Linked DNA regions of Lonchura striata. The protein of the gene in region 1 purifies or fractionates together with the protein of each later gene. This does not show direct contact. Links are inferred from orthologs where the notes say so. Each region holds a gene or a part of one and is shown in the gene's direction. Other genes may lie near its edges.

Region 1 (7,825 bases):
ACTGCAGGAAACCCTGATTACAAACTTTTTCAGAGAATACTTTTTTGATAGTGAACGCTGGACTGCACACAGGGTCTGGAAATGCAGGCTTTATTACACTGCAATATTAGAGACTGATAAATATTCCTTTTTTGCCTACAGAGTTACTTGTCATATGTAGGAATTAAATGTAGCCTTCAGATATAAGGACATACCTCTCTGATGTGGGAGTCACTAGAACCACTCCTTCCAGACTGTAAGTGGCAATTTGTTTCCTCTGCAAACAAATTATTATTTCTAACTGACATCTAACTCAGTGCAGTGCATTTTCCATTTTAACCAGCATCTCTAGACAGACCAGTGATGCCCTGTATCATACAAAGATACAGGGTTATTCTTGTTATTTAGATGAAACCTTACTTAGCCTCTTTAACAATGAAAAAAGAATTAATCATTCTTTGTCTAGCTCCTTTTCCTATGTGTACCGCTAGAGGGTATTACTCACTGTTACAAATAACCAACCTGAGAGGCTAATTCTTAGATTACATACGAGAATAGAAGACATTCATGAGTAATTAATGAGCCAAAGAAACATCTTGAGCAAACTTTGGGGAGAGTGGGTGTTCCAGCTTCTACCCTGTCACTCCTTCTGTGTGTGAATACTGATTCTAGAGAGCTCATCCACATTCCATTTATCAGCATATGCTATTTTGTGATTGCATTATTCACTAAATGTTGCAGTTGGATGCTCTGAAAAGCTAATGAATATAAGGCTTAGAATGTAGTTGCAAGGAAATTACTTAAAGCAGATGATCATCTACCTTAGCATTACATTATTTTTCTCTTGTTTTTACTTATTTGAGTGATTTATATATAATATATATATTATATATATATTTATTTATATTTATATATAATATAAATATATTTGGTATAATAACCCTAAGTTACTTGAACTAATCCTAAGGGCAGGTAATACTTGGTAAAAAAACAACTTTTTGCTTTCATCCCCAAAATTTATTTACATCTGACGACAATGTGACTGTTGAAAGTTACAGTATGCACTATCTTACTTGCATGTATTTCATTTAGGTAAAAAACCATGGAGTTTAGCTCAAACCATCCTAATCATTTTTTAGCAGTAGCTCACTTTAGGCCAGCATGTCCTTTTTTCAAACTAGCACACAGGCTAAATAATAATAAAATTGCTTTGCTTTAAAAATGTAATTTTCTTTTACTCAGCAGACATAAATTACTTCTTGTTTACTACCATTACCTATATAAACAAATCGCAGGAAAGATTACAGGTTGATACACAGGGCTGTAATTATTATTGATTGGTTTTCCTATCAAGAATGATGCTTCAGGAACTGAACTTTCACAAGCCCACTTAAGCTTTGTTACCTCAAAAGAAACATGTACTCATAGGGATTTCAAGCTGATTCTAGGTTGTTTTTTTTTATATATAACTTCTCTGGTGTCCTAAATATGTCAGTCTTGTATCTGACAGTAAAAGGCTTTTTTTTTTTTTTACAGTAAGCTCCCTGAGCCAGTATAAAACAAGACATTGTGGACAGATGGACAATGAACTAAGAAAGCTGTAAGTTATTTCTGGTCTGTGAGAGAACAATCAAACAGCTCTTCCAGAAGTGAGTGATCAAAATACCAACACTCAAACTGCTGATACATTAGGAAGTCCAGAAGAATGGTAATTAGCTTTCTTGATGATCTATTTTCCTATTTCCTGCCAGCACAGAGGTAAAGCTGTACAGGCATATTTGCCAGATTTGTAATTAGTGGACTTGTATCCTGAAGTATTTCAGGCTTACATTTTCCATATTTGCAGAAATGATTGTGATTGCTTCAGTTTTGTTTCATAACTGCTTTCACTACTGTATTTCTTCTCCAGCTGTCTATTTCCAAATCCAACATATCCTTTCCCATTTTCCTCATAGTTCAAATTAGGGTCATTAATTTTGTATTGGAAGCATACCCAGTACTTGATTTGAAATAAAATAAGGATTCTTATTCTGTAGCCTTGGCAGAAATGTACTTCTCCTTACTTAGGGATGAGCCACATGTACAATTTATTTGGAACTCAGCCCAATTGATGGGATCTGGTGAAAGGAAGAAGCTTCTGGTGAAAAGGAAGAAGGAACAGCTGGCACAGGGAAAGAGGTACAGGGCCTTCTCAAGGGAATATTCTGCCAGCTGAGGTTTTGTTTCATGGGCAGCTGATGCACTTTTGAGCTCCCCCCTGCATTACAACTGGCCATGCTCAACTGCCAACAGGTAAAGTCAAAGAGCATAAAGGTATTTATATGTACTAAAAAGGCAAAGTGGTACCAGACATTCATCCATTCTTCCTAAACCAAATGCATTTGTAGGGATGTAATACACCTGAGATGATTGTCTGTAGTCTAGGAAGTTGAAGCACAGTCTTATCAGAAAGCATTAATGATGAACAAGTTAACTTTTGCTCATATGGAAGATACGATATGAGATATCCCTCATATGTGGGATCTTTTTCCTAAAATACCTGGTTTAGTTTAACCCCGGTTAATAAAACAGAGGGAATTACTTGAAGGATGCACACAACCTGCACATATACAAGTTCAGAATATCTAATTTCAAAGTTCATTCAAACTGAAAACCTCTCCATGCCTTAGAATCCTCTCTGGATGGGAAGGTGGAAGCATTGGTTCTTCAGCAGCAGTCCAGCCCCATGCAGTACTGCACAAAAACTGGTTTAGAATACTACTTATTTCTGACCTGTTCAAACTATATTGAGATTCTAGTATTATCTGTACAAAATGGAGGCAAAATCACTATACATATTTGATTTTTATTTTAACAAAAAATGTAATTCAACAAAATGAAGCCGCAGGAATTTTTATTTCCTTTTTATATACTATGAGTTACTAAATGTGCTGCTAACTTACAGCTTTTATAATTATTTTTAAATGTTATTTAGTATATTATTGCAAGTTCAAGTGCTATCTTTTAATCTGTATTTTGGCCATGGTCAAACAGAAAACAAGCCAGATCTGTTCAATGACACAAGAAAACATCATAACCTTCATATTCTATTATAGCCTGTCTACAAGTGTTTAAAACTGGCTGTTACTAGCAGACACAAGCACTTAAACCAGGAGGAATGGATCAGAGGTATAGCTACTAAGTAAGATTTCCTAGTAATGGACAAAATTTTTTTGCATAGATGTGAATTTTCAGATGTAATTATTCATCTCTAGGTCACTGTTTTGCTGTACATGACTAACAGCTGTTGTTTTCCACCCAGGAGATGGCTGTATGTCAGCAGCTGGTAAAACGATACCTGCTCATGAATTCAGGGGCTGCTTTAAGATCCTTTCATCTCAATGATGAGACTTCTCCTGGATGGCTTTGTCTAAATCATGACACTGGAGAAGTCTTCCATTTCAGATTTGAACTCTGCTAAATGTCTGCAGAGACACAGCCCATATGTTCCAATCCAGACACCTCGGTTGGCACTGGTTGCCAATGGAGGATGAGGAACAAAGGAAAAATATGACTATGTAATGACTGAACTTTTGGAAAAGGCAGAGCATGAAAGAAAGACAGCAAAGCTGGAATAACACTGCACAACAGTCCAGCTAAGCGCTTCAAGACAGACATCTTAAATCTATTTCTCATTTGAACTGGCTTTTTTTTCTTTTTTTTCAAGTGCTGCTTCATTTCACATTGCCAGCCCTGAAGCAAAATGAATTAAAAAAGCACAAATTAAACGAAGTCACAAGGCTGAGCTAAAATCACACCGTTCTCGGAGGTTTCTAGCACCTCCGGGGAGGCAGCGCAGTTTTTCTGCCGCGCCCCCGCGCAGTGCGGCCGGACGGGCCGAATGGCGCTGCCGGCCCCCGGGGCGTGAGTCAGAGCCCGGTGCCGGTCTGGGCTCCCGGCGCCAACCTCCTCTCAAATTCAAACAGCTCATCCGCACCATGTGCCAAGCGCTGCCCCCGAGCCCTGCCGAGGCCTTTCCGGGCCTTCCTTCCTCCTCAGCGGCTGCCACACCATCTTCCCTCCCGCCCGGGCCAGGCCGGGCTTTGACCCCGTTATCTGCGAACAAAGCTACGAAGAGGCAGGAAACGGCCCCTTGGAGCACGTAGGAAATTATCTCGAGATCAGAGATGATTATCACGGCGGGCCGTTTTGTTCCTTAAAAGAGAATTAATTAACTAGTAAAAACCAGCAAAACCTCAGGAGAGGTGGTGTCTGTCTGCAAACCGCCTGGGGTGAGGGTGCTGGCACCCCTCGGGTCCGGGAGCAGCGAGAGCAGCCCGAGGCAGTCCCGGGACAGCGGGGAGCAAAGCCCGGGGCTGGGCGGCACCGAGCAGGGAGAACGTGCCGAGAGGGATGGGGGGAAGATGGAGGGGCCCCCTCAGATACCTGAAGGCCAAGGGCTGGGGAGTTTCTGGGGGGTGTCCCGCGTCAAAGCGCGCCTGCAGCACTGAGGGAGCCCTGCCCTGTGAGGGGATGCGGTCACCCCCGCCTCACTCACCGCACCGAGCGGGGGTGCACCGGGGACGGCTTGAGTGACTCTCGCGGAGGAACGGGGAAGGGGCGGCCGTGCCGCTCCCCGGGGCGCCGGGACGGGGCTCCGGGGCTCGAACCCCCCGCCCGGCCCCTGAGGCGGGCGCGGCCCCGCGCCGCCGCCGCCGCCACGGCGCGTGCGCGGGGCGGTGTCTCGCGGCGCTCGCGCGGCCCGGCGCAGCCGCCATTTTGGAGCTGGGCTCGCGAGGGGAGGAACCCGCGGGAGGACGCGGCGCCCGGCGCTTCAGCCTCCGCGTCCCGCCCCGAGCCGGGCCGGCTCCGCTCGCCGCCTTCCCGGGCCGCCCGCCCGTGCCAGCCGCCGCTGCTCTTCGTCACCCGCCTGGCCGGGCCCGCCGCAGGCCTGAGAGAGGCGGGAAGGATGCCCTGCACACCCCGCCGCTGAGGGAGACTCGGGGGCCCTGCGCGCCGCGTCTGGCCAGCCCCACCCCAGCCGCTCCTCGGCCCTTCGCCTCCAGCGGCGCGGAGCTTCCTTCTCCCTTATCCCCCTTGCCCTGGGTTTCCTTTCTCCTGGACTAAGCACGAGCCGCTTCCCGCTCGCCCCCAGCCCGCTCCACCTCCCAGGCCTCTCTGCCCAGGCCTCCTCCGGGTCTCTTCCTCCGCCAGGGCCTCCGGGCTCCTCACCTTCCTTCCTCCCTTTCCTTCCCCTTCCCCGCCCGGAGCCATGTCCTCCGCCGCTCGTTTCGATTCGTCGGACCGCTCCAGCTGGTACGTGGGCCCGGTGTCCCGGGCGGAGGCGCAGACGCGGCTGCAGGGGCAGCGGCACGGCATGTTCCTGGTGCGGGACTCGTCCACCTGCCCGGGGGACTACGTGCTCTCGGTGTCCGAGAACTCCCGCGTCTCCCACTACATCATCAACTCCCTGCCCAACCGCCGCTTTAAGATCGGCGACCAGGAGTTCGAGCACCTGCCCGCCCTGCTGGAGTTCTATAAGATCCACTACCTGGACACCACCACGCTCATCGAGCCCGCGCCCAGGTGAGTGTCCCCCGCCACACCCACCGCCACCTTTGCTCCGGGTGGCGCCAGGAGGTGCGACCTGTGAAGGTGTCACAGCCCAGCCCAGGAGCTCCGGAGCCTGGCACTGGGTGTAGATGCTATGAATAAATACTAAGGAAACGTTCGTTGCTAACGCTGAGCCTTAACGCTCTGGATCTCCCCGACAATTAAAAGTGTTGCTCTTTCCGTGCAATCATCCACTCTCCCTGTGCTGACCTTGTGTGTAAAGGTACCATGTACATCTGCCACGGGCTGAAATGGCCTTGAAAGAGGGTGTGGTCGCACGTCACCCTTTTTGTGTTACTCTCTTCTTCTAGCATTGTCTCTCTGTTCCAAGGATGGTTGAGAAGCTGGTTCACCAGTCCTCTCCGTGATTGAAGTACAGCCTCTGAGCTTAGTTTGCTGTCTACCCCTGCACCCACACCGATTACAATAGGACTGGCTTTTATGTGATTAGACTGCTTTGCCCTGTTAAGTCAGCGTTAATACATAGGGCAGCATTTCCCAAACTTTTAGAGTGGCATTTCTGCACCAAAAAAATGTAAAACACTTATTTTCTCACAGATTGCTTATGGTACTGTTCATCTATATCTGCATATACCATACACTTCACTGAGAAATGCTGTTCTAGGAGGATGGGAAAATGTGACTTGGCTATGAGCTCCTTCTTTGTCCTGGTCCCAGCATGGGACATACCTGCAACATACATCAGTAAACTGCTTATGAAGACTCCTATAACATATTCCTTACTTTTAATTAATAAAGCCTTTCTCAGTGTCTTTTGTCAAAACTTTTGGGCTTCCTGGAGAGAATGAAATTAAATTAAATAAGAGAAAAGTAGGGACATATTGAAAAAATAAATCCAAATTGGTTCACTTCTGAATTTTAATATCTTATTATGTTTTGCAGATTAGCAAGTTCTTAGGAGGGAAGAATAACTTTTAGGTTTATAATCACAATTGAACCTTGGCCTAGACCAGTACTTAATGACAGTCACTTGTCAAAGATTGACAATAGCTTGTCAAGTTGAAAACCCAGGTGTTCAAAAGTCACTCTGAAAAGCTGTTAAGTGATGGGCAGGATGTGACAAAGCACAACCTTCAAGAACTATTCAATCTGCTGGCAGCCTTTTGGGTAGTGATTGTGGCTAGAGAGATGGGTAGATAAAAAAAATGGTTTTCACCATTGCAGGAATGCTTAAATGGAGCTGCCCAGTGTTATGTGCATGCTTAAACATGTGGAGAGTTGGGAAGAAAAAAAGTCTTATGCTGAAGCAATCTTCATGGTTATCTCTGTTCTCTTGAACCTTTCTGGATGCAAAAACTTGTTCATAATCATTTATGGCCATGACTGGCTTGGCTTTCTCAAAGCACTTGAGAACTTGGAGCTGATTGCACTTGCACACTTGGTATTTGTGGAGTTTGAGGAGTCCTGTGTGAAATGTTCTGTGAACATTTTAGTACCACCTCATTTGCAACGTTTTGGTTGCATATTGTTCTCTCAGCACACAGACAAATGGGACCTAATCTGCAGGGAATTGACTTTTTTAGCTTTTATATAGAGCTACAAATGGGATTGACTAGGTCTTTTTCCTTACAATGTCTTTGTTAAAACTCTTAGAAAAATCAGTTATGTGGTTGATGGTTTTAAATTCTGTGCAAAGGAGACTTCCTGCTGCAAGAGGGATGATGAAAGGTAGAATTTCCAGATTTTTGGTGGGTTTTTTTTAAATTTTTAGTTAATAGACTAGATTTAGAATAGGGGTGGCCAGGTATGTGCGTCAGAACTGTTATGCTAATTCTTATTTTTCTGGCATTTTCCTGGGCACAGATGCTTGTGCTTTTGAAAGCTGTTCATTCTTAATTTCATAAAGTACAGTCTGAAAGGTGGTTTCTATATAGAGCCCTACAGTACTTCTAGATCTTAGAGATGACATCTTAAACTTTTAAAACAGTCCTAAATGGACCGTTTTAAACTTTGCTTCTTTTATGTCTCTAGTAGTGAGCTCTGACCATCCTTGCTGATGTTTCTGAGCTCTTGCTTATGCAAAGTAATTGTTCCCTGAAGGGTTCCCTCTGTCCCCCTGCTTTGGCTGCAGCAGGGTGTCTGAAGATGGAATATCTTTATCTTCAGGGCTTCTGGCATATCTTGCAAAAATCACAGGGATTTGACTTCCATCATATTTTGCAAGTAGCAAAAGAGAATTGAAGTAGGTTAATGACATGCATCCTTGCTATCATAGCTTAGATAATAAGTATCT
Region 2 (7,262 bases), on another chromosome or scaffold:
GGCAAAGTTATTTCTAAGTGTTTAGTTTGGTGAGAGAAATAGCACTGGGCTTCAGTGTTGACTGAATAGGAATAGGAAGTCTTCTTTAATCATCTTCAAGTGTGAGGACTGGCAGTGTCCTCCAGCTGCAGCCACAGACGCTATCCAGCTCAGCACCCCAGGCGCCTTCCTGTGCTGCCCAGGGGGTCTGTATCCATCCCAGATGGGATGTGCTGGTTCTGGCCGGGATCTCCAACAGAGAGAGGACAAAGTAGGACCATCAACTCCATGCAAATCTATGTGCCTTGAACACTGCTGACCTGCATCATCTCATCTCTGTTTCAAGCCTGTATTAAGGCATCAGACTGATGCCCCTGTCTTTGCCACAACACTCCACGGAAGATGCTTCAAACTGTCTCATTATCTGATCAAAGCACCTTTTGCTACTATTCCCTCTGCTCATGGAAAGCAGCCAGTGCTGCTGGAGCTGCTGTCACAAGAAGGAAAGGACTGCCTTGTGGTTTGGCTTCAATTGCAGTCATTCTGGGGGGCTTGCTGTGCTCTTCTATGGAGGGTGGAAAGCTTGAAAAGACTTGCCTTCTTGAAAGAGGTGGTTTTTTTGGTTTTTTTTTTAACCTTGAAAATTCTTTCATTAAATCAAAAAGCTGCTTCCATCCCGCTCTGCTGCAGGAACTGTTGCATGAAGATAAAGTCGGGTCTTATTGTTGTGGAGCTGGATCTCACGAGACCGAGCATTCGCTCAGAATTAAAAGCAGGCAAGGAGCACGAAGCAGCACACGGTAGATTTTTCAAGCCTTTCCTCTCCCATCCCCACAGCCTGTTTCGGTTTATATTAACCACCGTATAGGGCATTTCCAAGGGATTTGTGCCTGGCTGGAGTAAGTGGCCCGGAGCGTTTCAGCCAGCTGGTCCTTAATGCACAGGAAATGCCCGGTGTCTCCATCCCGGCTGCTTGCACCAGCGGCTGGGAGCGAACTGCTCCGCCTGCAGCTTTCCCGTCTGCCAGCAGATGGCACAGCTCATTTGAATAAATTTGGAGCAGGAAGGAGTAGCCGTGGACATTGTGGTTTCTTTCTTAGAAGTTCTGATTTTTCGGTTTCAGATATGCACAAGAAACCACACTGAAGGTTACGATTAAAAACCCCGGAGGTTTCTGCAGAAGAAAGTGTCACTTTGTCGTGCACCCCAGCACGGCAGTTAAAGACAGTACAAGGGCTTTTTCTTAGAAAAATGTTTCTCTCTCAGCCTTACCCTTGTTCAAGAAATATTTCTTACACGGCGTCTCTTAATTTCTCCCTTGCTATATCTGCTAATTTTGCTGTTCCTCCTTCAGTTGCTTCTGCTGGCAGAGATGAATTCTCGATGGCTTCGCATAACTCCCTTGTCAGATTTTTCCAACACAGGGATGCGGTTTTCACACAGTTTTCCGCCAAGGCTGCTGGCTGTTAGCTCACACTCCAGAGATTTACACAGTCAGCTGGGGCCAGCCTGAGTTCATTCTCCACTGCCGGTTGGAGGAACAGCTTGAAGTTGGTAAAAACTGTTACGAACGTGCAAGCGCTGCCAAATCGAGCTGTGCTCATGACAGACATCGTCTTTAACTCCCAGGGGCACTGAGGGTAGTATTTGTGTATCTTCCTGGCCAAAAGCTTTAAGGAGGGCCAGCATTATAAGGCGTTGTAATGTTACATGCATTGGATCATATGTAATCTGGAAACCTGATGCCAGAATTAACTCACTGTTCCCATTCTGTGTACAGCCACAGTGGAATTGGAGAGGCACGTTCACGTGCAGCATCTTTGAAGCATTTTTCTGCACAGAGCTTATATTACAGTTGGACTTGATGATATTGGAGGCTTTTACCAACTTCAATAATTTTGTGATTCTGTGTCACATCTGAGAACAGCAGCACATTCAAATGTACAGAAAATGCAACCTATTTCCCATCCAAAAGTTCCAGTAAACTGAGATACCTGTCAGGCATCACTAAAAGCATGGGAAAAAAGAATTTACAGGGGTACTTAATATTTTGGACACTGTTTGGATATATCTTGTGATGTAACCAAGTCAGTAAATGGGATCCAGAATAGGGGATGAGTGGAGAGAAGGAAGAGTACAGCAAAGGAGCAAGGTAATAAACCAAGGGCTGTCATAGAACATGTAGAATAATTCATTCCAATTCACACAATGATAATTATGGAGCTTTTCTTTAAACATCCATTACCCAAATGAAGTGTTCCAACTCTGTGTGGTGGAAGTTGTTAGCATAAAAATGCAGACAGGGTTCTCTGCAACTGGTATTCAAACTGATACCACTTTGCATTGGTGTAAGTATGAGTGAATTCCTAACTTGTGAATCATTAACATACACCATGGGATAGTTTTGCATGATACCTTTGTATTAATCCTGATCATCTGTTCTTAATCAAATCTTTCTAAATCCCCAGTAGCTCACCAGCCTCCCTGAAATTTCTGTTTTGGGAAGATCTCCGAAGTGCAGGCCACCAGGACACAATTTTCTCTACGAATACACAAAGTGCCTCTAACCAGGAGAGTTTGCAGGTGAGCCTCTTGCACTCATGCGGTGTAAATTGATATGGCTCCAGTGTGCTGAATAAGGTGATGTCAACTGAAGCCAGCACAGAACTGGTCCCTCCATTCTCCCCTGCTCTCAGCCCCACCACACACGCTGTGTTGGCAGAGATGGACACGCTGATCTGAGCACAGCCTCTTTCTGCAGAGATTGCCCAGCACTGGACTAGGATCAAGCTCTTCCTTTGGGTAGTGAGACGATAGAAAAATCTTCCTATTTAGCCTTTGCATTTCACTGGCAGTAAAACAAAGCTGTTGAGAAAATACATTCCTAACAAATGACTGACTTGTTCTGTAAGGGGTTATTCCCCTTCTTTATGCATTCACAAAGATGATAAACAACATATGGCTTAAACGTGCTCTCCCCATCTTGAAAAGAGGTGTTGCTCCTGCCTCCCAGAGGCACTGCAAGTTGCAATTACTGCTCTGAAGTGTTGCAAGATCCCTGCTCGAGTGACGTTATATAAAGGTTGTTGTTGTGTGACATACGGTAGCACATCCAGCCAGCATGGAGTTGTTATTGCACCAGCTACAGCACAAACACATAAGGAGGGACCATCCCTGCCCATAGAGGTTGGACAGGCAGGGAAGCTGAGGCAGGGATGACTGAATGTGCCCAAGCAGGTTTGGGGCAGAGCTGTTGTATAGAGACAGGTCTTAGAAATTCATCCCTAGCAAATTGTTGTGCTTTCCACATGAGCGTGGGCTAAGAGGACTCAGCTTTTATGGGTGCCATGCCCAAGTATTGCTTTAAAGGGTGCAGTGAAAGCAAGGTTAGAGCATAACCCAATTCGAAGGGCTGTGGAGAGATGTTTTATTACTGTCTGAGCTGGAGAGGAGAGGATCAGGCTTTGAAATGTACAGTGTTTCTAGATCTAAAAGTTGATAGTGAATCTCAGCCAGGGTATAATACACTGTAATACAAAACCTGGCTTGTCTGCATGAGACTCCAGTGGCAGTCAAATCCCCTTTCAGTGGCCACTGCTCCATTACTTAAAAATCAATAATAAAATACGAAGCTTTTATTGATTCCCCTCGTGGTTTTTTATTGCTATATTTTTTCCTTCAGGAGGGTTTTTGGCATCACTGGTGTTTGGCTGTTTCTTGCTCAACCTCATTATTTTCCTATGGCACCTTCATCTCAGGCACAAGCCTCTGAGCACAGAGAGGCTAAAGCCAGCCTCGCCTTTCCGAGGTGAGAAGGACCTCTTCCCTCAAGACAGGGGAAGGGTCCCGGGATAATGAAACATTACAGGGGAGGAGCTGTACTTTTTAATTAAGGAAATGTTGCGCTGTTAGAGATCACCTGCTGCAGCATGGATAAAGTTTCTCTGTAGGCACTCTGTGAGTGTGGGGGGGACAGGGACGAGCGGCAGCCCCTGGGGGCGGCGTGGGGCCGGGCAGCCCCTCTCCCCGCGGGTTTGTGTCTTTAACGCGGCTGGCGGGGCGCCGGGCGGGCGGAGGCGTGGTGAGCCGGGAAGGAGCCAGTTTCCTGCTTCCCCGCTCGCAGCCCAGCGGCCGCGGCGGCGGGGGGAGGCGCTCGCCGCCCCCCGCATCCATCCTTCCATCTCTCCCTCCCTTTTTCCCTCCCTCCCTCCACCCACCCATCCATCCATCTATCCATCCGTCCGCTCACCCACCCAGCCCCGCCCGCCCTCCATGGGCCGGCGCGGCCGGCGCTGAGCGCCGGGAGGCAGCGCCCGGCGGCGCCCGGCTGCCGCGATGAGCGGCGGGGAGGTGGTGTGCTCGGGCTGGCTCCGAAAGTCACCGCCGGAGAAGAAGTTGCGGAGATACGTAAGTCTCAGCCCACCCCATCTCATCCTCGCCCGGGCCCCGGGAAAGCCGGGATCCATTCCCCACGCCTCCATCCCCGCTCCTCCGCCGCCAGCCCGGGTGCACCTGCCGCCGCCTCTCCCGCCGCCGCGGAGGCTCGGCTGGGCGGGGGTGCCCCTTGCCCGGGCCGGGAACGAACGCCCCTGGCTCCCCGCCTCTCGGGGAAGGCGGGTGGGAGCATCTCCGGGCCCCCGGCTTGTTCCCTGCCCGGGGTGGCGGGGTGGGCGGTGACGGCCGCGCTGGAGCGGACGCGGCGCCGGGGCCGCTCTGGCTGCGCCCCGCGGTGGCCGGGCTCACCCGGGACCTGCGACGGTCACACCCCCGCCTTTGGAGTCGGCTGTTTTAGGGGAGGCTGGGAGTACCTTGGTCCCAAAGAGTAAGAGTACTACCGCGTCTTGGATCCCCCCAACCTTCCCGTAATAGTCGCTCTCCTCCATCCCGTGCAGGGCTCCTATTAATCATTGAACCTCGGAACCCTTTGAAGATAGCACCAGTAGCGCTTCGATAGTCTTTGTGTCGTTAGCGGCTGAGATCAAACACTTCAAAGAAGTTGTAAAAAGAGGGTCCAAATGCCAGCTCTGTCACATTCCCCACTCATTGAAAGAAATAACTGTTCTTTGCGTCCTCCGCCTGATAGTCCTGCCATGTGCCACGAGCGTTAGCGCTCAGAAACGCGCTGCCGTCCTATGACTTGGCACATCGCTCCCCGGGATGTCAAGGGTCCCACTCCCTGACACCAGCGACCAGCCTCAGCCAGCCTTCAGATGACTGGAATGCAGCCTCTGGGAGGGAGCTGGATGCTCTCCTTTCCTGGGGTAATGCCAGCCAGATCATCCTTTGGTCCTGTTGCTTTTGCCTGCATGCGTTTGGGGAATGGCAGGCAGAACAAGTGCGGCTGGTGTCTCCCCAGTGCCTGTTAATGATTGATGGAAGCATCACTGCCTACCCTTGAGAGGGAGATGGATGTCTGTAGTCCCGTACTGCAGGCTAGAGCAGGACTGTGGTTGTGTCTGATTTGTGATAGTGTTATTAGCCTTGCCCAAAAAAGGGGTCAGCCCCATGGACATCAGTGGTACCATATCCCTTTGCATTAGACTGTGCGTCCAGTTGCTCTTGGCAATTCTTTCCTTGTGTGCCTTATGCTCTTCCAGGGAATATCAGGTTGGCACAAGGCTGAAGGATGGAACTGCTAGGGAATCCAGTAAGGTAAACCTGAGTGTTTATGTGGGAAGTACCAACCCCCAAATGAACGTAGGCAGGCTTTGTGGGAGGTGGACAGAATGACTTTGTGCATGCTGAACTGTGGAGGATGCTTTTAGCTTAATGGAGCAAAGCACCTTCCTCCCGCAGAAATCAACTAATTGCTGATCCTGAGTCACCAATGGCCTTAATTCATCAAACATCATTAGCTCCCCAGCATCTGCCCCATGAAAGGGCGCTCACATCACGGTCTGAATATCCAGTTTGTGCTCTGGCATTCTAGCAAGAGCTGAATAAATCTGCTAAATGCTCTACATGGAGGGTGTGACACGCCGGCAGTTAGTGCTAATTATTGATGTGCATAAGAGTGCTTTTCATCCACATGCATCCCAAAGTGCTTTGCAAGCCACCTATGTTTTCAAAACATCCTCATTCCCCCAAGAGGAAATGCAGCCATGCTGAGATGTGCCCAGCCATCCCACGCAGCCTCCTCGGGGCAGGAAGCGATGCTTGGCAGATGTCACTCAAGGGGACTCTGTGCTGAAGCAGTCCCGCCACTGTGGTCAGTGGGACTTCCCTTCCAGTCACACCAGTTGCACCAGCTTCCTGCATCAGTGGCTGAATTTGAAAGTGTTGGCCTTTAGCTTGGACTGTGTCTCACTTGGTGGTGCCTTGTACCTTTGCCTTTTAATGCATTATTACTGATGCTGTATTTATGTAGCTGTGGTGTGCATTTAGGATGTTGGCGTGTGGAACAGGCTCTCCTTGAGAGTAGTTCAGAGCAGCTTGTTTGTCCAGAGCCTGAGAGTGATGGCTTTCCTTCTGTAAAACCTGCCTTTGTCCACAATAAACCCACATGGCTGGACTTTGGTTTTTTGTGCACAAAAGGCAGTTTATGCCGGCTTTTGTATGGCCTCAAAGGGAAGGTGCTGAATTGCTGCCTTTGCCACTTTCCTTATGTCTTCAGTTTACGTTCTGCTTTGAGATTTCAGAGGAGAAATCTCAGGCTGCAGGATGCTGCTAATGGGGTTTGAAGTTCCTGCTCTGGCTGTATTGACACAGGGGAGAGGATAGATTTATTTTTTCTTTGACAAGTGCCTTTCAAATGTATGTGTCTGCACATGGGTGTGTTGCTAACGCTGTCCTTGAAGTGCTGTGCTTTTATAAGCCTGGTTTTGTATTGCTTTTATTTTTCAAGGAGATCTATGGCAAGAAAGGAAAGTACTAAATTTTCTCTCTGACTTCCATTCAGGGTGGTTGATAAAGGTGTGGTGAACTCCACACCTGATCTGTGCAGCATTAATCTGCATTTACAGCAGTGCCTGCTCTGTTTCACTTCAGAGGATTGTGTTTATGTGAGATTGTGGGATCTATTTGTACAACGCTCTGGGAAATATTAGTGTTGTGAGTTTCTCTTCTGTTGAGGGACATTCAAATGATCAAACGATGACTGCTTAAAGGTGAAACAAAGTGTGCCTTTTTTCAGTCTCACAACTGCATACAGGGGTTCATATAGACTCTGGGCAGTTTGGCAGTAAATACTACTGTAATATTGATAACAAAAGCTAAGCAAACAATTGAAGGTCAAAAGTAATTGAAGTACCAAAATATCTCTTTTCACCTCTGCTCTGCTTGGG
Region 3 (7,867 bases), on another chromosome or scaffold:
GTGTTCAGTACAAATTCCACCTTGTGCTTTTTGAGGACAAACCATGCTCAGCCAAAGAGCCTGGCTGATGCCTCCTTTGACTATGTACAGCTTTGGAGTACTGGTCTCTCATGTGACCATACATTACTTATTTTCCTGGAAACACGATCATGTCTCCTATAATTCTTATTTCTGTTACAAGACCAAGCCTAAAGTGGCCTAAGGTGAAGTTTCCATTGTGCTGAACTTGTAAAATGCTTCCTATTATAGAAAAAGTCTACATTTTCAGTACATATGTGCAAAGATATTGTCCTTATGGAGGGAAAAGCTTCTGATTAATTTTTTAACAGCGTAGACCTTAGGAAGTTTCTGCATGGCTGGCCAACCAGCCAGCCTGCTCCTTCTTCCTTGACTAGCCTAGGAAAAAAAGGGAAATTCCCTTGCATGAAGTAAGGCAGTCAACTGATCCTCTGGCAAAAAACAGAGGACAAACATTTACCAGTGAATTTCCACACCAGAATGGGGAATGAGTATTTTCCACAGAATACACAAAGGAAATCTCAATGTATTACACCTGTGCAGAACTGAAAACTGCTCCTTTTTTGTGTATGAGTTCTGCAGTATACTCTTGCCTTTATTTGCCTACATCAATATTAAATGTAATCACAGAAAAGAGATGAGGTAGCTTAACAACCAGTAAACAACTCTAAAGTGTGTGGACATACAGTCATCTCTTTTAATTATGTCTGGTTTTATTACTTTCCTCAATGTGCTTGCCAAATAATCTAAATAACTACATTCTGAAAGAAACAGTAAATGTCATCTGCAAAGTGACCAAAATAACTACATAGATTAAATTTACCTGGGAATAATTTTGAAATCAAAATGGAAGTATTTGAGATGAAAAGAAATATATAAATGCAGAATTTTGCAAACTTAAAAGATTAATTCTTTTTCTTCACTGATTCATTTTTACATAAACACCTAAACATGTTTTAGGATATAGACTGACATGCAAAATTTTTTGTTAAACTAATTTATACTTTTTAATTAGACCTTTGGTTCTTTTTTTGTCAAAGTACAAATTTTGTGTTCAAATGTAAGCAGGAGGCATAGAGGAGTTTAGGGATCACTATCAGGAGCAGCTGTTTGTGACTGCAAGGTGAAACCACAGGGGAATGCATAGGTTATCATACTAGAAGTATAACACAAAGATAGTGCTGTAGTGAGCACCATCTTATTATGCAAGTCCAGAATTCTTAAGCTATTTGCATGAGAAATTAACATAATTTATATTTTGAAAGCAAGCCCATATGTATTTAATCTCCTCTTCTATCAGCTCCTGCTTCCTTCATCAAGGCAACTTGGCAAGCAAACCAGAGACAAATGGATTTCCACATGACCTACTTTATCTGGCAAGATATATAAATAGTCTACTCCAGAATTTTGAAGAACCCATTTAAACACTTTGGAACGCACTTGTGGAAGAACACAAGGTCAGTGGAGGAGTCAAGGCATCTTGCACATGCTTCCTGAGCTGGGAGGCAGCACCAGCACCGTGACCACATGTGTGTAGTCGTCACATTCCATATGACCATGGCATCACCTCGCTGGTTAAAGTGCACTTTATTGAGCATTGTGTGTGCTGCAGCTTGGTCACAATGTCCAGTCACAGCACAGGGACTGTTTCAGATGGCAATGTGGGATCCAGGAATGGCAACATTCCTAACATTCCCAATCCTGTAGCAGGATTTGGCACTGTAAGAAGAGAGGATGGATACCTCCAGAGCTTCCTCCTCGAGCTGCTCTGCTGGCCACATCCTCTTCTTCAAAACCAACAGCTGTCATTGCAACATCCTTGTTAAAAACAGGCAAAATAACCTTTCCTCCAAGAAAAAAATCCTCTTCCCTTCTCTCTTCTTCCTCAAAGGCCCTACACTCAAATACCAAAGATCTCTGTAATGCAAATAATTGAGCTTGAAACACCTTTATCTTCCAGGCTTCCCAAGGAACAGCACAGAAATAACCTGAGGGAACAAAGTGAGGGGAGAGGGTGGTCATGTCCTGACGTGGGGTTACAGTCCTTCAAGCCCTGAAGGGAGTTTTGTTCTTCCAAGCACAAGCTGTATTGCAGAAGAATTTCAAAATGGGGCATGCTTATATTGTTTTAACTTTCAGGACAGAAGTATAGCTCAGTTATTCTCGACAGAATCCTTGTGACTTTTATCCTTAAATTCAGGAAATTATGTCCTAGCCTAAGCTGGCTGAGTGTAAAAATTTTTCTACATGGAGGAACTGACTTGTGTAATTATTTCACCACTCTCTTCATAGACAGTTTTACAGTTATAAATATGCAGGTGTTAAGAGTCAGACCTAAATATTGTGCTCTTCATGTATTTCATTAGCCTTGTTTCAGTTTACCCTAATACAGGTTATCTAAATTATGAACTGTGGAACACTGCTGGATATGCACAGAAATCCACAAAATTAATATTCTTGGATTTTCTAGCTGTTCACTAACTTGGAAAGAGAGGTACAGCTCTGTGCAGCCTTCTCCTGAGATGGTAAGTGAAGGCATTGGTGGGACTGTGGATGCGTAGCTCAAATGGCTGAGAGCAGAAAAGAAAATCCACTGCCATGACTAGGAAAGGAGCAGTCCATGAGACAACATCTTAACATTTAGAAATTGTGCTTTGCTGTATTGTTTTCTTCAATTCCACAATGCAATAAAAACATTTTATGTCCAGTCATGAGGCTTGTGACTAGGCTCAGCAACTAAGTACAGTCTAAAAGGCAAGCTTTGTTGTTTACTATTCATCACTGTGACATTAACTCTTTTTCCCTAGTGTATACATGACAGGGATTAAACCCCCTCACAAAACTGATAAACAAATACATGAAAACTTAAGCTGGAGTCCAGGCTGACACTGGTTTCTGTGTGTTTTAGAACACAAATGTAATGTTTTGAAATTTGACCTCAGGGACAATCTTGTGTCTCTGGACCAGCTAACTTGTTTGGTTGGTGCCTCCATGGAGACTGCTTAACCCAAAACAAGCTTTCTTTGATTTGCCCTCAAAGCATGGGTTAATTAATGGGATTCAAATGAACCATTGGATCACGTCACAATGCCCCAGTGCCAATGGCATTTTTAGTTAGTTCACATTGGCTCCACATGTTCTAAATACTGAATCGTCTCCAGTGTTCCAAAGGATACTGGAAAATTTTGTGGTCTTATCTAGCACTTGAATAATGTCAAATGTTGAGATTATTAAACAATGGTATTAGTGGTTTAAACAAAAAACTTGCACTGAAACCCAGTTTGTAATCTAAACCTAAGAGTACAATTTTAGTTCATGTTTACTAACCAAATCACTTTTTTATTGTTTCCACCAGCCCCGCTGAGGAAGCTGAAATGATGGTGTGCAGAAATTCATGCAAGGATGGTTTGAATGCTCAGATTTATGTGCTTTGAAAATTGCTAAAGGCTGACATTCATATCTTTTCTTATTTCAAATGCTTTTGGCAAAATATCTTATTTTATGATCTTTCTTGTAGTGCTTAGTAATGCTTCATAATGTCATAATTATCATGACAAGATTTATGTTGGAATTGATGCACAGATTTTAACACCTCAGCCTTTCTCCTTTATTTTTTCCTGTTATTTCTTTGAATGCTCCTATATGCTACAACCACTGCTTTGTAACTTTTAAATACACTTATACCTAGATGAAATGTAGCATCATCGGGCTCCCTTCAGCCAAGGCACACTAGGGGGACTATTTCTCTGCAGTGAAACTTCACTGGGACTAGACAACAAAGCCGCGATCCCATTCCACAACCTGCCATTTAGTAATCTGAAAAAAATTTGTTCAAAAATTATTTTCGTTAAAAGTGTACTATTATTTTTTCTTTATTTAATAATATATTATTTATTGATTATATTTATTAATGTATTTGTTATTACTTATTTAACCCTTTTCTGACGGAGTGAAAAAGACAGAGAGCATTCACAGCAGAGCTGGTGAACGACCTGGACAATTAAGGATTTTTTTTTTTTTTTTCCTTTTTTTGTTATGGCAGTTTCAGACTTGCTATGAGAAATTTACTTAGGCCGCGCTATTTTTAATGCAGTTTTAATAGGGATCTTTAGGTTGGGTTTTGTTTCTTTGCTTGCTTGGTGTTTTCATTTGTTTTCCCCGCAGGGACCGAGCCCGTCCCTCGGCCGCGTCCCCTCCGCTCCCGGCCGCGCCGCCGCAGTTCTCGCCGGGTGCCGACTACAGCTCCCAGGATCCCGCTGGAAGCGTCGGCCGGCCGTCCCTCCCTGCCTGCCTCCCTGCTTCCCAGCCCTTGTTGTTTGAAAGGGCTCCGGCGGAATTCCGAGGGGGAGCCGCGGCGCTCGGGGCGGCGCCGGGCGGGGGCAGGCGGGGCGGCACCGCCGCTCGGCGCCGGGAGAAAGGGGGCTCGGGGGGGACGCGGCGCCGTGAATTCCAGGGAAAAGCCTTCCCCCGCTGGCCGGCAGGGAAGCGGACCGGCTCCGGGCCACGGCCCCAGCCTCGGGACAAGACCCCTCCCCGCGGAAGGGAAGGCGAGGAAGGGACGGCAGGCGTGCTGCCGATCCCCTCCTCCCGGCGCAGGGGGAGGAGGAAGAAGGAGCGAGCAGGGAGCCGCGGCGGCCGGCGCTGAGCTCGGAGGGGCGGGCGGGAGGGAGCGAAGCCCCCAGCGGCCCTGCCCAGCGGGAGGGTCCCGGTGGCACGGGGGAGGCGCCACCGGCGCGGGGCGGTGGCTGGATCCTGGATCCTGCCCCGGGACGCCGAAGTTGCGGCGGGGCGGCGGCCGCCCCTGTCGTCTCTCTCGATGTCCGTGTAACTCGGCGGCGGCGAGCAGGAGAAGGCAGGGAGGACCCTCCCGCCTCAGCCCCGCTCGCCGCCCCGCTCCCCTCCGGCGGGCTGTTGTGCGAGAGAGACAGACAGACACACACACCCTGCGCCCCGTCCCGCCCCTCGCCCCGGGAGGCCAGGCCGGGCGCGGTGCTGCCGCCGCCGATCGGGGCTCCCCGCGCCCGCTGCTCGAGGAAGAGAAGGAGCGGGAGGCGGAGGGAGCGCCCCGGCGGGCAGCGGCGCAGCCATGAGCGGCGGGGAGGTGGTCTGCTCGGGCTGGCTCCGAAAGTCCCCGCCGGAGAAGAAGTTGAAACGCTACGTGAGTGCCCTCTCCCACTCGCGGGCCGCGCTCCCCCTTGCTCCCTCCCTTCCTCCCTGCCCCGCTTCTCTCCCGCCGGAATTCCGCGCTCGCCTCCCGCTCCCGCCGGCCCGGCCCGGCCTCCCCGCGCGGTCCCTCCCGGCCGGGCCCGGGCGAGCCGCCCTCCCCTCCGCCTCCCCGTTCCAGCCGGGGCTTCTGCACGCCACGTCCCTGCCGCTTTCCCAGCGCCTTTTCTTTTCTTTTCTTTTCTTTTCTTTTCTTTTCTTTTCTTTTCTTTTCTTTTCTTTTCTTTTCTTTTCTTTTCTTTTCTTTTCTTTTCTCCTTAAAAAAGGAGAGCTGAGCGGTCAGATGTTTCAGCCCAGTTTTTATCGCCTTTCCGAGGGAGTCGGGAGAGGGCGGAGTTTTCCCCCTCTTCCCTCCGAGTCCGACCTCGGTATATATGTATTTTTAAATGTAAACACTTGCCGTCCCGGGGCTGGTGCCCGATCCCAGGGAGGGCGGGGGCTGCCCCGGTTCCGCGCCGCTCCCGGCGGGATTGCACCCCGGGCTGGAGCCGGGGATGCCTCGGAAGCGGTCTGGCTGGGGCGGGGGGAGCTCCGCTCTCGCTCTGCGCACCGGGAAGAAAAAAGAGGAGGCAGTTGTGAGAGAAGCGCCCGTGTCTCTCTCGAAGTTGTTGCCGCTGTTGCTCGGTAGTGGCTGCGCTCGCAGGGGCTCCGGCGGAGCGGACGGGAAAATGGAGCGCGTTTGCTGAGCGGGCAGATTCCATGACAGGGCACAGCGGAGCTGCGGGGCCGCCGGGGAGGCTGTCAGGTCACGTAGGAAGGAAGGATGGGTGATGCCAGGAGTCATCGCTGCTGGCTGAGCCCTTTCCCATTGGCACCCGGCTTGTTTCGCGGCATCTGTGTAATCGGGACAAAATGCTGGGCCTTTTTTTTAAACTCTTTTCTTCCTTCGCCTTCATTCCCTCCCTCCGCCCTCCAGTGTTTATCTTTTTTAAGCAGCTAAAGCTTCAGATTTATTTGAGAATCTGTGAATACAGATCTTAGCGTGACTGTGTTATTTTTGTCTGTTAGCGATTAGCAGTCTCTTCTTGAAGGGACTTTGGGCGGGTTTTTTTAAATGCCAGGAAATCTGTGAAATGAGTCCCTATTTAAATTAATAAACAATATTTGGGGTAGCCCATTCTCTGGTTCCCAATGTCAGAAATCCTCTTTGTGTAAAGGAAAGAGAACATCCTGATGAGACATAGCAGGGTTCTGCTTCCCCGCTGAATGGACTGCTTTTTTGGCCAATTCTCTATGTCTGTGTGTGTATTCACAGGACACCTCTTCACCAGTGTGGAGGAATTAAGAGCAGTATTCATGTTTTTAAAGACTTTTAATAAATTTTCCACTCAAACTCTAAATCCTGTGAAGGGTGCTGTGTGTAAATGGACAGAGTTTGCCCTCCTAAATCAATCTCATTAATCAGTCTCATAATATGCCAACTTTTTTCCATGTAGCTGCCCTTTCAGTGTATTTATAGCTCCATTTCTATACTGGAATTACACAAGAACCTTTGAGGGGAAAACCCCGACTACAGCACTGGTCAAGTGGTTCCCTGTCCTAAAGAGGTAATTCCTTAATTTTCATTTGAAAGGGGGATCTGCTTTTTGAGTAGGCAGACTATCAGGATGATAATACGGCAAGCTTACCTTAGCGTGATTTGGTTCAACATTAGCATGCATTGTAGGCCGTAAGATCATAAGTTTAAATCCTACACGTTATTTTTGACTCTTTTCTGCTTGTGTGAAAGAAAGATACCACTTAGAGAAGGGCTTAAAGTAAAATTCCTCCTGTTTGTCTGTAGTGCCTGCTCTGTTGCAGGCTGAAGGCTGACACTCCCTTCAAAGACCTAAAAGTGACCTTGACGTTATGGTAGCCGTCTTGGAGCAAACAATAAGTTGATGTATTTAAGACAATGAACTCCAGCTGAGTGCACTGGCTGGAGAGTTGGCTTGTGCTCCCTGTAATTCTATGCTTAAGTGAAGGCACAGCAGAGAGCTGCCTTTTCCAAAGCCATGTTTTATGGTGGTAGTATTTCAAGGGGCTGCACCAGATCAAAAGATGGGAAAGTGATTTCAACAGGAAACTGCTTTTCTGCAACGCATACTTTTCACAGGTATATATGGAAAATTGTAACTTCGTGCTCTATTAAGTTTTGCATGCAAATGTTGGGGCGAACCCAGGTTACCATCTGGAAATGGAGATAAAAAGTCTGATATTGTTTTTAAATATGGTTTAGTTCCTAGAAAGGGTGAAAAGGAGCACTTTGAAGCTAATATACAGACATAGCTTTCACAGGGACTTTGATTTTTAGTTTGAAACTGTTGGATGAGGTATTAAAGCTAGCTTATACTCATTTCGAGGCTAAAAAAGTAAAAACCCTCCAACCAGCCCTGTCCTGCAGGTGGTATTCCAGATTTCCTTGAGTGTATGCCTTAATGCCATGAATGTCTGTTTCTTCTCTTAGGAGTTCTGTTCTCATGCCTTGTTCATGTGGTTTTGTTACGGAATTAATGTTCTGACAGCCATTGGCACCTGCTGTCAGTTCCCTGGAGCTGCTGTTCAGAACAGTTGGAGGTAATAGACTGGTTGTTTCCAGCAGCACATCTCTGAGGAAAGTACAAGTAACTTTTAGTGCTGTTGGGAG

The links. The genes of interacting proteins can lie anywhere in the genome.
Region 2: the proteins of CRKL (region 1) and GAB2 purify together in Homo sapiens (affinity purification with western blotting; 3 studies listed by BioGRID). This does not show direct contact. The link is inferred for Lonchura striata from reciprocal best matches to the Homo sapiens genes CRKL and GAB2.
Region 3: the proteins of CRKL (region 1) and GAB1 purify together in Homo sapiens (affinity purification with western blotting; 3 studies listed by BioGRID and IntAct, with this or other methods). This does not show direct contact. The link is inferred for Lonchura striata from reciprocal best matches to the Homo sapiens genes CRKL and GAB1.

The regions. Positions count from the first base shown.
Region 1 is NC_134620.1:3,752,265-3,760,089, reverse strand, and holds the start of CRKL (crk-like protein), read left to right. Parts: upstream 1-4,811; 5' UTR 4,812-5,230; coding exon 5,231-5,544; intron 5,545-7,825. UniProt on the Homo sapiens protein: May mediate the transduction of intracellular signals.
Region 2 is NC_134604.1:32,753,394-32,760,655, reverse strand, and holds the start of GAB2 (GRB2-associated-binding protein 2), read left to right. Parts: upstream 1-4,244; 5' UTR 4,245-4,314; coding exon 4,315-4,386; intron 4,387-7,262. UniProt on the Homo sapiens protein: Adapter protein which acts downstream of several membrane receptors including cytokine, antigen, hormone, cell matrix and growth factor receptors to regulate multiple signaling pathways.
Region 3 is NC_134606.1:64,919,122-64,926,988, reverse strand, and holds the start of GAB1 (GRB2-associated-binding protein 1), read left to right. Parts: upstream 1-4,849; 5' UTR 4,850-5,104; coding exon 5,105-5,176; intron 5,177-7,867. UniProt on the Homo sapiens protein: Adapter protein that plays a role in intracellular signaling cascades triggered by activated receptor-type kinases. Plays a role in FGFR1 signaling. Probably involved in signaling by the epidermal growth factor receptor (EGFR) and the insulin receptor (INSR).